Linked DNA regions of Drosophila melanogaster. The gene in region 2 interacts genetically with the main gene of each other region. Each region holds a gene or a part of one and is shown on either strand. Other genes may lie near its edges.

The links.
Region 1: of CanB2 (region 2) and fliI, changing one suppresses a phenotype caused by changing the other (phenotypic suppression), as found in Drosophila melanogaster (one study listed by BioGRID).

Annotation. Positions count from the first base shown.
Region 1 is NC_004354.4:21,337,970-21,345,621, reverse strand, and holds fliI (flightless I), read right to left. Parts: upstream 5,882-7,652; 5' UTR 5,729-5,881; coding exon 5,675-5,728; intron 5,512-5,674; coding exon 2,357-5,511; intron 2,122-2,356; coding exon 1,971-2,121; intron 1,848-1,970; coding exon 1,437-1,847; 3' UTR 534-1,436; downstream 1-533. Other genes in the region: dod (dodo), read right to left, coding at 1-2, 114-171. UniProt on the Drosophila melanogaster protein: May play a key role in embryonic cellularization by interacting with both the cytoskeleton and other cellular components. Alternatively, it may play a structural role in indirect flight muscle. Vital for embryonic development.
Region 2 is NT_033778.4:7,784,327-7,789,636, reverse strand, and holds CanB2 (calcineurin B2), read right to left. Parts: upstream 3,628-5,310; 5' UTR 3,372-3,627; coding exon 3,369-3,371; intron 3,316-3,368; exon of another isoform or gene 3,194-3,315; intron 3,138-3,193; coding exon 3,098-3,137; intron 2,404-3,097; coding exon 2,105-2,403; intron 2,047-2,104; coding exon 1,876-2,046; 3' UTR 584-1,875; downstream 1-583. Other genes in the region: CG12825 (uncharacterized protein), read right to left, coding at 1-60, 137-216, 279-381. UniProt on the Drosophila melanogaster protein: Calcineurin is a calcium-binding and calmodulin-binding protein found in all cells from yeast to mammals, and a calcium-dependent, calmodulin-stimulated protein phosphatase.

The DNA.
Region 1 (7,652 bases), on a different chromosome or scaffold from region 2:
TCCTGCAAAATCAATCATGATCAATCAAGTGCAGGTTCAGTTTAGCGTGCCGGTTCCGCATTCCGCCGGAAAACCGCCGGCATGGCACGAGCGGGACTGCACACGATGCTTACCTGTGGAGCGGCTAGTGCGCTTCTCCCAGCCGTCCGGTAGTTGCTCGGCATCTGGCATGCTGTTTTCACTTAATTTGAGTTAAATTACAAATAGTTTTCGGAATAAAATAAACCACCAGTGTGACCGCGCCGAACACGCTTTGAGAACATCCATCAAAATCGATAGCGCCTGCCATCGACATATCGATACACATGGTGGCGAATTCGCCAAATAAGGTGCTGGCACGTGCTAACTGCGGTGGGTGCACTCGCTAACCGCAGATACAGCTGAGGCCAATATAATAGCAGCGAACTAACAATAATGTGCTGATATGTGCTATTCTGATATGTTATATGTATCTTTTGCCGAAAAATTAGCACATAACTTAATTAAATCTATTCCAATACCTCCTTCAATCCGCGACACGAATAGAGGAATTTCAATTTTTCTAATGTTTATTCAGGGGATTAATAAAAATAAAATAAATACGTGGGCATTTGTACAATTAGTTTTAGTGCTTCCTTGACTTTATTACAGGCTAGCTTTAAGTAGGTTAACATTTTAAAAGGACTAGCACAGGGGAGTAATCCTCTCAGCTCAGCGTATGTATATATATATATATATATATATATTGCGTATTTGTAGGCATATGTGATATACATACATATGTATGTATATTTGCATTCAATATACTCATGTGGTTTTCTCGCAGGGAGTGGGCGAATACTTGGCGTTCTTGGAGTTAGCTAATTATTTAGTTAGGGGCGGGAGCAAGTGAGCTAATAAAAAAATTTAAATTAATTATACAAAACAATTAAATACATTTTATAAAAGTACAAACACACGATCTTCACTCACGACCTGAAGGAAGGGCTTGGCTTGGCCCTTTCATTCTTTTTCCCTCGATACAATTTTGCTTTGTCATGTCTTCTGGGGCAGCTACTCTGTCACGGCAGCTGCCCAGCGCATCTTCCCAGCGAACAACATTCGCATCCGGCTAACAGAGGTCTAACTTAATGCTTAATGACCAATTTACAACTCGATGGGGCTCCTCTAACGGGCTAAGATTAGTGGGTAACACCTCTAAGGTGCCTCTATTCATTTCATAAAACTAAACTCACATTGCAGGCGTGCTCTTCGACTTCTGGTTAATAAATGCACTTCCCGAGGCCGATTCACTAGCTCTGACAGGGACTCGAAGGCGCCAATCGAGACAAGCAAGACAAAAACTAGCGCCTTTTAGGCGCTTTCCTTGCGGAGACCTAAATGGCCACATAGCGGCGGTGCATGAATTAGGGAAATTTAAAAGAACTACTCGACGATGCTCCTTCAGTTGGCTAAAATTATAAATACACCTTGAAGGCGCTCCAGCCGTGGAAGCACTTGGTGAAACGGCGCGACTCCTTGTTCTTCATCGTGAGGAAGAGCTTCCTCGGCCGCTCCGGCTGCTTGATCCGCATGTGCTGGATGTAGACCTGGGCGGACTTGTAGGCCAGCTTCACCTCCACCTCGCTGCAACGCGGTCCCATCCACAGGAAGACGTGCTCGCCGTTGTCCAGGATCATGATATCGTCGTCGGCCAGATCGTCCTGGCAAAAGTCGGCGCACTTCTCGGCCACCGTGTAGTAGCCGCGCTCGTTGGAGCACCGGAACAGCCGCGTGTAGTTCATGTACTCGGCGTCCGTATCGTAAGGCTTGCGGCCGCCCAGCGCCACCCAGAAGAAGTTCTCCGGCTCGTCGCCCTCGTTGAGAATCTGCAAAGGATGGATGAAAAGAAACGATTAACAAGAGCGTGTACCTTAATATAAACATATGTACAATATATTCCACAAAACAGCCCACTACATGGTTGAACCACATTAACACATGGAACCCACCTGTAAGCTCACCCACGGCGAGTTGAACATCTGCTCGGCAATATCCTGCACCAGTTTGGCCTCTTCGTTGCAGGCCTTGCTGCCTATCCACACGTACACAATCCCCGACTGCGAATCGTCCTCCGTTTCAAATGGCACATGGAGTATGTAGCTGAAATAATGCGTATGGAATATAAATATTGGAGCGACTACTACTATGTTCGCTATCTTTTGGATATATATAAATAATACTGTGTCATATCACGTAGGCTTCCAGGAATTTCAGTTTCAACCAACGATAAGACAAGAATGTTGATCCAATAAAATCGCACTTGTCATACATCTCAAAAAAAAAAACTGGGTGATTATTACCACCCACAGTAATAAATTATTGGTAATTTGCTCACCAGAAGGTTGAGTTGAGATGCACTGCATCCGGATTAATTTGGATAAGGCGAGTGGTGAGCGCACCGCCGTTCGATCGCAGGTGAAAGAACTCAACTGGCGACTTGCCCTTCGCGGTGTGCGCCTTGTCCTTCCGCTTGCCGGTGTGGATGATGAACTTCCGCTTGAAGTGGGACATGAACTTGAGGTTCTCCTGCTGCTGGAAGATCCGCACCACCTCCAGCTCCTCGCCGAACATCGCCTTGAACTTCTTCTGCAGTGTAAAGGTAAACGTGAGCCATCCCATATTGCCGGCATTGCGTCCCTGCCAAAAGTAAACGACGCACTGGATCTCGTCCTCTGGCTGATTGTTGGCGCTGGATTTACTGACGTCTGCGGCTGGGTTAGCACCATCTTCGGAGCCATTCTCGGGCTCCTCGATGGGAATGCAATAGCGGCAGAGGAACACATAGCATTCGCCGGTGTAAAAGCGACCCAATTCCTCCTCGGGCAGCCGGACGAACTTCTTGTTCTCCAGTACAAAGGCCTCCATCATCTCCAGATCGTAGTTCCACTCCTCCTCCAACTGTTCCGCCTCCGCCAATGGCATGGCCGACTGTCGGGGCATAAATAGCGCGGCAAGATCCGTGCGCGTCTCCTGCTGCCGAGCCCACTGTGTGAGATTAGCCCCTGTCTTGGCCACCGACTTCGCCGTTCTCGTGAAGTCCACGGCCATTACCTCATCCCAGCCAGCGAACTTGGTTCGGAAGATCTGCATTTCATTGCCCTCGGGTACACGCATCACCAGCGCATAATCCGGACGATCCATCATGTTAAAGAGCTCCCGACTCAACTTGACAGCGGCCGCTCGGACCAAACGCGTCGACTTCTTGCCAAACCAAACGAACAGATCGGTGTAACAGTCGAGTATGTAGACGTGCTTGCTATTTAGCAAGGTATGGCAAAGTTTTTGCTCAGGTAACTCCACTTGCGGCAACTCCAGATAACCCATGCCAAGTTGCACCTGGTAGAGGCGAGGCTGCACCGGCTGATAGTCCTCTGGAACGTGCTCCTTTGGTGGCTCTGCGGCGTCTGCCTCCTCCGAGGTCATGCCCAGTCCTTGCCAGAATTCGGCACTCTCCTCGCCCTGCCGCTCCAACTGGATTTCACATTTGTTCTTGCGCTCCGTTTTGCTGATCTTTTCCGCCATTAACCTGGCCTTGGAGTTCAGCGTGTTCTTCGATCTTTCGCCCATCCAAATGTAAATATGGGTGCCCAGATCCAAGACAAAGGCGTGGCGGGGATCCAGGGAGGTAATGGCAGGAGCCACTGGCTCCAGATGAATGGTAGCGCCATAGGCGTGCACTAAATACAATCTGGTGATGTGTATCATCTCTTCTATGGTATAGAAACCAGTAGCTGTGCGTCCGCCCTCGATGTAGATGACTTCCGTCTCGAAGAGGGACAGAAACTGCTCGGATTCATCGCCCTGCTCCTCGCGAACCGTTCGACATCGGGCGCCCAGAAAGTTTCTTAGGTTCACTGCATGAATGGCAGCGCAAGCTCGTTTGTCCAGCGTGGCTTCGTTGCCTATCCAAAAGAATATTTCCCAATCGAGCAGGCCCAGGTCATCGAACTTGGTCTTGAGGACTATGTAGCAGTCGCCCTCGTAGAATTTGCCATGCACCACCTCCTCAATTTTGTTGGGCAGGAAGTTCTCGATTTCCCAAATGGTCAAGCCCGGCAGCTGGCCATCGTCCTTCTCAAAGAACTTGGAGTAGTCCAGTTGCGGTTTTTCCAGTGACTCGTCCCATCTCTTAGGTTTGAGCGACTCTGGCTTTCCGTCCTCGGGCACAGCACCCGCCTCGTTATCCTTATCCTTTGCCACATCCTTCATGCCCTTGAGCACCTTGGCAGCATCCTGATCGCCTTCACTGCGAGGACCGCGTCGTAAACGTATTTTCCTCGCCGTTGAATCCTTGGGCGTTGCTGACGATGGCATGGAAGGCGGCACAGCAGCCCCAGCTAACCGAAGCTGAGTCTGCAGACTAAAATCTATGTTGTAGAACTCAAGACTGGTGGCTTTACTCGCTTCGCTTGGCTTGGGCGGCATCACTAGCTCCGGATTGTTGCGCAAGTCCAACTGGTCTAGGCCCTCCAGCAGGTGAATGGCATCGGGCAGGGTTATAAGCCGATTGCAGCTCAAGTTGAGCTGCTTCAAAGCACCGCATCGGCAGAGTCCCTCTGGCACCATTTCCAGCAGGTTGTTGGCTGCCGAAAACACCTCCAGAGCTCCGAGTTTGCCGATGCCCGAGGGGATGCCCTCGAAGTTTAGCTTATTGTCGTTCACCAGCAATCGTCGCAGCTTTGGTAGTTTGCAGAGGGCAGCCGGCAGCGCAACCAATTGATTCCGCGACAGATTCAGCGACTCCAGACGCTGCCAAAGCTCTACACCGGCAGTCAGTTCGGTTAGCTCGTTGTCGCTCAGATTCAGTCGCACCAAAGTGACCACATTGTAGACGCAGTCTGGCAGCTTGGGCAGCGAATTGTGCGACAGGTCCAGTTCGCAGAGATTGGCCAAACTGTCTATGCTAGTGGGAAAATTGAGGAGCGTGCGCTGCGTGCCGCTCATCTTCAGGACCTCCAAGCTCTGCAGCGAGGGCAATTGCCGCAGTTGAAACAGCTCCAGCGGATTGTGCGATAGGTCCAGGGTTTTCAGATTAATCAGACGTCGCGTCTGCGGCGGCAGTGTCTCCAGTCTATTGTGCGACAGATCCAGGAACAGCAGATCCGTTAGATGGATGAACAGCGGCGTGGGTATGCTCTCGATCTGATTGTTGCTCAGGTTGAGGACTATCAGGTTCTTGGCCCGCTCCAAACCCTCGGGCACCTCCTTCAGTTTGTTGTGCGACAGGTCCAGCGTGGTCAGCTCCTCCAGGTGAAACAGCTCCGGCGGTATGCCGCTGTTCTTCAGCTGATTGTGCCGCAGGTCGAGGGATCGCAGGCAGGACAGCTCTGTCAGCTCGCCAAAGATCTTCTCCAGTCGGTTGTGGTTCAGCGACAGGTGCTCCAGCTTCTGTAGGTGGCCTAGCTCCTCGGGAATCTCCGCCAGCTGCGTGCGATCCAGTGTGAGCCACTGCACCCGCGACATCTGCCGCATGGAGCTGGGGAATGTTGCCTGCAATGGAATCAATCATATTTCGGGATTATCTCTGCTCCGCACTTATGACTAATGCTCAGGTGCTTCTCGGTGACCTGTTTCTTAGCTTCTTTTTTTTTTAGAACCTGAACCACTCCGAAAAAACAACAAGGCTGCAACTGTTTTTGCTGGTTGTACTCACGCTGAAATCATTTTTCGTAAAGTCCACACCGCGCACAAACGGCAGCACGCTCATTTTGACCACATAAAATGTTATATTTGTTTTATATTTGGGCTCAAGCTGCTGGCCCTGTTTTTCGTTTCTTCTTCTTTATTTTGTTTTTTTTTTGCACTAAAAAAAAGAAGACTAAGTGGTGACCGTTCACCGCTCACCCGAGCAAACGGCATGGTCGCACCTTCGTATGCAGTTGCCGGAACTGGCCACACTGCGCATTTTACGAGGGTTAGGCAACACTAAAGTGTTGGAAATCACAGAAGGCACACTCGCGTTGCACTTCGTAGGTTTGGTGCAGCTGATTTATCATATAGAAGGGGAGCTTTGTGGGCTTAAAAAATTTGGTTCATATACGGCAATAATTACATTTGTGACCAAAATAGAGTTTCTCGCCTTTAAATATTAATTTTGCATGGCTTTTAACGGTACGTCCACCACTGTATTATACGAGCTTAAGTCGAGTGTGACCGTTAATGTCTAAAAATGGTGTGGCTAATTTAAAAATTATTTTGAATTCCCGGAACCGAGCTAAAAGCGACTTAAGTTTTGGAGTTTTTGATTCTTTTTGAAAACAGAGCCGTTAGTTTCAAATGGTCCTATGGACTTACAAATAATACGTTGAAAACTAACGGAGTAAGTGATTGAAACCAAGGTTTTTGTTTTTGATTTATTTATTATTTATTTAAAGAAATTGAAATACACATATAATTTGTATAAACTAAATTTGATTAACTATACATTTGATGTGTGCCTTAAGACTTAAATATAATAAATTCCTTTTTGCTGATCTGTGAGAGCCGAACGCTTCGGACTATGTTAGTTTGCTCAAAACGGTCACATTGGATGGGGTTCGGGTTTTTCGAAGGGTCCTTTTCGTCCTGCGAAAAAACAGTAACATCGTATCGTGAGCATAATCCAGAGGGTGTGACCAAATTGAACGACACGAAATTTTCATACTTTGCCCAGTCTTCGGAATGTGAAGGTCCTCGCTCGTGTGTTTTGTTGCCTTTGCACCGATATTGCAAAAACATAAAATCAAACCTAGCCTCAAAAACAATACAAACCCGAATGAAATTTAATAGATACGCCAGAAATACGACAACTTGATTGAATTAATGCCAACTGAAAATAGTGCAGCAAAAAGTAATAATTTCGAATTTTTTGCCGATACACTCGGCACTAGGCTTTGTTTGTTGTGGAAAATTGTGTACCCCCGAAAAAGGGAGTGTTTTCATTTGGCGTCGTTCGTCACTTGCTCGAACGCCAAATTGTTGGCGAATTTCATTTATTCCGTTATTGTGTGGATGTATGCGTGCGTGTGTTATTGTTGCATTTGCCGTTGTACAAACGCAAACGCACTTTGCAGTTGGTGTGTGCGCGTCTGCGGGGCTGGGTGGCGGCGACGGAAGCGATGTGGGCGGGGCGGCGGAAAGTGGGCGCAGCAATTACGAGAGAACTGCCAAAAGGAATAAGGATAAGAAGAGGATGGGGATGGTGATGGAGAAGGGGAAGCAGTGGCCAGAGCAGAGCGAACTTTTAATCAATAGATATACAAACGCACGCGCAGCCGCGTGACCGTTACTCGCACACTCGCTTTCGCCTCTTTGCCATGACTCTCCGTTGCTGCTGCTGCTGGGGGTGTTGGTGTTGTTGCTGCACTGGACGAAGCAGGAAGAGGAAGACAAGTGAACAAAATTGCTATTGCGCTGGGCAGCATCGTTCGTCCTCAATCCGAAATCAAGTAAAATAAATTTGGGAAAAAGCATTGGAAAATAAAAAAATCCGCGTTCGCGCAGTTCATTTAATTCACTTAACGGAATAAGTACATACAGATGTAGCTCAAATACATCAACCGGCTGGCCCGCGGCTTTGTTTTTAATTTAAAAGTGCCCGAAAGTGTGGGGCAACCTACTTATTGAGCAATTAAGGCCATGCCCACGCATGC
Region 2 (5,310 bases):
CATCAGGTATAAAAAGAATCCTGTGGTTATCATCCACGGCACGAAGAACTTGTGCTTTTGCTGTATGCAGCAAAGAGCAGAGCAAAGAGATAAGAGATAAGAGTGTTGTGGACTGTGCACAGTGTGCCTAACTAACCTTTATGGCTCCAACGATGAGGACCACGCTTCCCAAGATCTGCAGCGCCGAAATGTGTATTCCCATCTCGTAGAGTCCATCTGAAACGAAATAGCTCTATGCATCGCAAAGATATCCAAGATTGGTATGTATATGCGCCTACATTTCCAGAAGTAATCGTCCATCAAAACCAGATAGGTTATGGCAAAGGCTATGGACAGGCAGCCCGAGCAGATGATTCCTCCTTTGGTGTCCAGCTTCCACATGTTTCCAAAATCGCAGAGTAACTTGCAGACCGCCGATTATTTCACAACTAAACTGGACGGGAGTATTCATGGTGGTGATGGGTGAGCAGGCTAGCTTTTGCCGCAGACCTTATCTAATCTCATATTGTACTGTAGCTCCTCCACCAGCGCAACAACAATTGAAGAAAACCTTTGTTGGTTAGTGTATAATTATAATTTTATTGAAGGATTCGCTTATTATTGCTTCGACTGGCCAGCTAACTGGGCAATCCATGCGGGCCTATCTATCGATGGGTTCCCAACTTGTGGCTACACCATTTTACAATGAGATACGACCTCGAGTCGATTACTTTGAATAATGCAATGGAATTTAATTGATTAGCTAACGAATTGAGAGTGGCGAGTGTGCAAAAATTTGTTAATTGTAAAATTTGTAACATGCGTTTTACTATTTGGTTTTCTTGCATCTTTAACTAGTATAATTAGGTATAAAAAAATGTTACTGCAATATCACCGCACGGCATTGCTTCATATGTATGTTTTGATGTATAATAACTATTCGATTTTCAGTTAACTCGCGTTATAAACTGCAAAATGTAGCGTATTTTAGAAAACGTTCGAGGCGTTCTACGTTCTGCGTGAGAATCGTTGATTAATTTGAGTTAAGTGGCGTTAGAAATTGGTTAAGATAGACTTAAGAAACTTGGCAAACGTCGCCTTCCTCTGGTGTTATCAAGTTAGTCAAGATATATAAAAATACGTTACGTAGGTTATAACATTCGATTAGTACAAGTAGGTATGTATAAATATATAAAAAGTACACAACGTGTAAATAAGACTAAGTCAATAGAGGAGACCTCCTTCGGGCAGGTTGCTTAGCTGCCCCGCGCATCTGTCCTTTCTCATCATAAGCACTTCATATTTCGATTTGTTGCATTTCGATTGGTTTTGTTGTTTTTTTTTTTTTTTTTTTGTTTTGTTTTTGGCAAAATCACAGGAGAATTAGAAATATAACATCAATATGATAGAGCGAAAGTGCATTCGATAGAGCATTCGTTCAACTTGGGTTGCTTTATTTGCCTTTGCTTGCACGAACTTGGATTCCGCCTTAGTTAAGTTTAGTTTTGCTTCTGGGGTTTTTGAATTCTTTAAATGTATATTTGTATAATAAATTATGACTATATATGCATTTATATATAAGTATATAGATGAATATATTTAAGAAGTAAGTAGGAGGCGCATTATTCCACTTTTCAACTTAGGATAACAACATTGCATTCGCGATTTCTCCCTAAGCCTTCGATCGCTGTACTGACTGACTGGCTGGCTGGCTGACTGACTGACTGACTAACTGAACTGGCTCGCCAAAGGCTCATAACAATATTTAACTATAGAGAATCGCCGATCAAAAATAATAACCATATGAATAGTGGTGATAGTGACAATCGAAGGATGCCGACGTGTATAAAATAAATAAATAACATCGCGTAGAAAAGGATCTGCGTTAAACCTATTTTAGACATCGACTACCATCTTCTTGTGAATGTCCGTGTTGCCGACCACAGAGCAGAACTCATCGAACGAGATCTTGCCATCCTCATCCTTATCCGCGAATCCGATCGTCTTGTCCACAATCTGCTGCAGTTGCGTGTCCTTCAGATTATTGCCTACCATCATCTTTAAAACCTTTTAGAGGGGAAACACTTCAGTGGAATGAGCTTAACGTAATGTTCGCGGGTCTTGCCTGAAACAGTTCGCCATTGGAAATGTAACCATCGTTGTCCATGTCATAGATGCGAAAGGCGAAGCGCAACTTGGACAGCTTGTCGCCCTTGACGCTGAACTGCGACACGCCCTGGATGAACTCCTTGAAGTCCACCTCGCCGTTGCCGTCCGCGTCGAAAATGTCGATCACGCGCTGCACCAGCGGATTCTGTTGCAGCTCCGGCAGCGACATGAACTCGTCCACGCTCAGCGCGCCCGAATTGTCCAGGTCCAGTTTCCGGAAACGTTTGCCCAGCCGCCGGATCTCGTCGGCGTCGACTGCAGAAAGGCGGGAAATATATAGAAATAGAGATTTAGATTCTAGAACGGTGTGAGGATTATGATTACAGTGGAGCTCTTTGAACTCTATACTTAAAAATTCAACATCAAATTTCTATAGCGTTATTAGGATTAATAAAGCTTTTAAATACTATTATTTTCACTTGAAATATTAAGTAAATTTATCTAACATACAAATGTAAATTATTCCTTTTCGCGAATATAAATCACATAATTGAAACTAAAGTTATTTAATTATTACTATTCTGCTAAGTAACTATATAGTATTGAGCATTTAAACAGCCCTTTAGTATGCAGATGTAAAACCAGATTTCGAGATTCTGGTTAAGATTGTTGGCGATTTATATTTAGCATCCGGTTGTCTGTCGATCATCAGATGTGCGACAAGGTGTGACAAATACACATTCTAGAATGGCAATTTTGAAATAGGACGATGGTGCGGAATAAAGAGTTGGGAATTCAAAATGTATTTCTACGCCACGTTTCGTTTGCATTCCACTTTTGTTGGCCATTCGCGTATTTACATGCCTACATATGTGCATACGTACATACGGGCGTACAATCGTACATGCATACCGTATCTAAATGTACGCTTCTAAATGCCCATGTTTGCATATTCATAAACAGCTGCCATTCCGTTCAAATGACATTGAGTGAATTATTTCGTACTTACAATTGGAACACATTTCCATGGGCAGTGATGTTTCATTTCCCTGCAGGCGAAAAAATATATGTTAAATGGGAAGTTTTAATATTTTGCAATGCCAAAAGAGGGAAAGAGAGGTGGGGGGTTGGAACGAAACGCAGAACGGAAGTTGGCTTTATAACGGTATAAGCTCCCACTCCCTATCTGCGCTCTCTACTTCTCACTTTCCCGCTCTCAGCCTCTTCCCCTCTTTCGTTTTTGCACTGGTTCTTCGCTTATTTTGGTGGCATTTTATTACCATTTTGGTTTTGCCTTTTGTGGTTCTCCTTGGATGCTATCTATAGAGTACAAATAAAGTTCGCTCTTTTCGCCGTTCCGCTCTTGGTTTTCCTCTAGTTTCCTTTAAAGTCCTACGCCGCGGGCTATCCTGCACATGCTACTGTGGTTTTTGGGCCGCTGAATTACGGTTTTGTTGTGGAAATATTCGGTTTTCTATTTTCTATTGTGCATGAGTTTTTCCACAGCAGCTTTTGGTGTGACCGCGGTTCGAGCGACAAAAAATACCTTGGTGGCCAAGGAAGAATACCAGAAAGCTTAGCGTTGGCAACGCGTTGACAGGGTTGTCAGCGTTTGTCACATTAATTTAAATTAGCGCGGTTTTTTAAAACAGAACATGTATTTATTTATTTATACTTTTAGTAATTGAACTGCATGACACTTCTTTAGTATGATCCAAAATTTCCATTCATATACTTGGTAATTTTCCTTCATTAGCAATCTTAAGTGTAAGTGCTCACAATTTACAGTTCTTATCTGTTTAAAATGTTTAATTATATCATGTAATCTGGGCTGGCTTAATCTAATGTTTTCTTATCGTGAATTCATTGTTGGCTTAATCTTATGTTTTCTTCTTGTCCATCGAAGATAGATGCATTTGTACGAGTATGTAATAAAGAAAAATAAAAACATATTCTGAATTTTGAATTTGTAATGATATATTTTCCCATTACTTAAGCTTAGTTAACTTAGCTTATTTAACAAGTAAACACGAGGAAACGCAGGTCAATATTTGAAACATTCGTTTGAAATACTACTGATACAAAATAATATCAAAACACTTTTCGAAAGTGTGCGCGTAACAGTTTTGAAAGGTTTGTGAATTATAGAGTGGGCGTGCCAATCTTACATAGCGTAGAATCTATGTACATACCCTCTAGCTTATATAGTTTTTTATTTGTTGATCGGGATGTTTATACGGACAATCGCTTCAAATGGTTACACATGCTTCTCAACGAATCAAGTATCAGGTGTAAAATCTTCATTTTCTGCAGCCCAACTTAGGAAAGTTACCCCAAGACAAATGTTTGTGGCTACGCCGCTGCATTTCGTTGGCTTCCCGCAGCAACATCAAACAACCATAGATACCATTTACTGCCCATCTGACATAATCTCTTGGTTAAACATTTCCCCAGCCAGTTGCCTGGCTTCCATCTCGATTCCATCTTCATTTCGCTGCCAACGAGCCAGCAGAACGGTCATGAGCCCAGGAATCGTTAGCCAGGAGGTAAACGGCCGCCAGGAGCCAACAGAAGCTGCGAGGGACGAGAGACATGGACGACGGCGCCGGGTGGCGGTTATTGGAGCAGGACTTGTGAGTGTAACAAAGTTATTTGAAGTATACAATTATTACTCTGCGAAAGCATAAATAGATTGTGGGTCTATAAATATAGCGAATGAAATTTAGTGTTAATCATTAACAAAATAATATATAGTCTATATTTAGAGTAGACCGTAGTACGGTTATAAACAGGCAATAATTCTAGTTAAGCTTCATAATATCTAAAACTAAGCTTTGCTAATTTGCTAAAATACACATCATAGTAGTAGAATTATAGAATTCGAATTCTTTTCGAATCATTCCTAAGTAATCTTTAAATTATGCTGCATTTTGATGTGTCTTCACATATGTAGTTAGATGCGTTATCTTTAGTGTTTTTAAATCCCTGCTTCCAGATATAAGGCTCTTATCACGCTTTCTACGCATCTTATTCTCCATAACACTAGGTGGGTTCTCTGGCAGCCTTGAACTTTGCCCGCATGGGCAACCACGTGGATTTGTACGAGTACCGGGAGGATATCCGCGAGGCCCTAGTGGTTCAGGGCAGGAGTATTAACCTGGCTCTTTCGCAGCGTGGCCGTAAGGCGCTGGCCGCCGTGGGTCTGGAGCAAGAGGTGCTGGC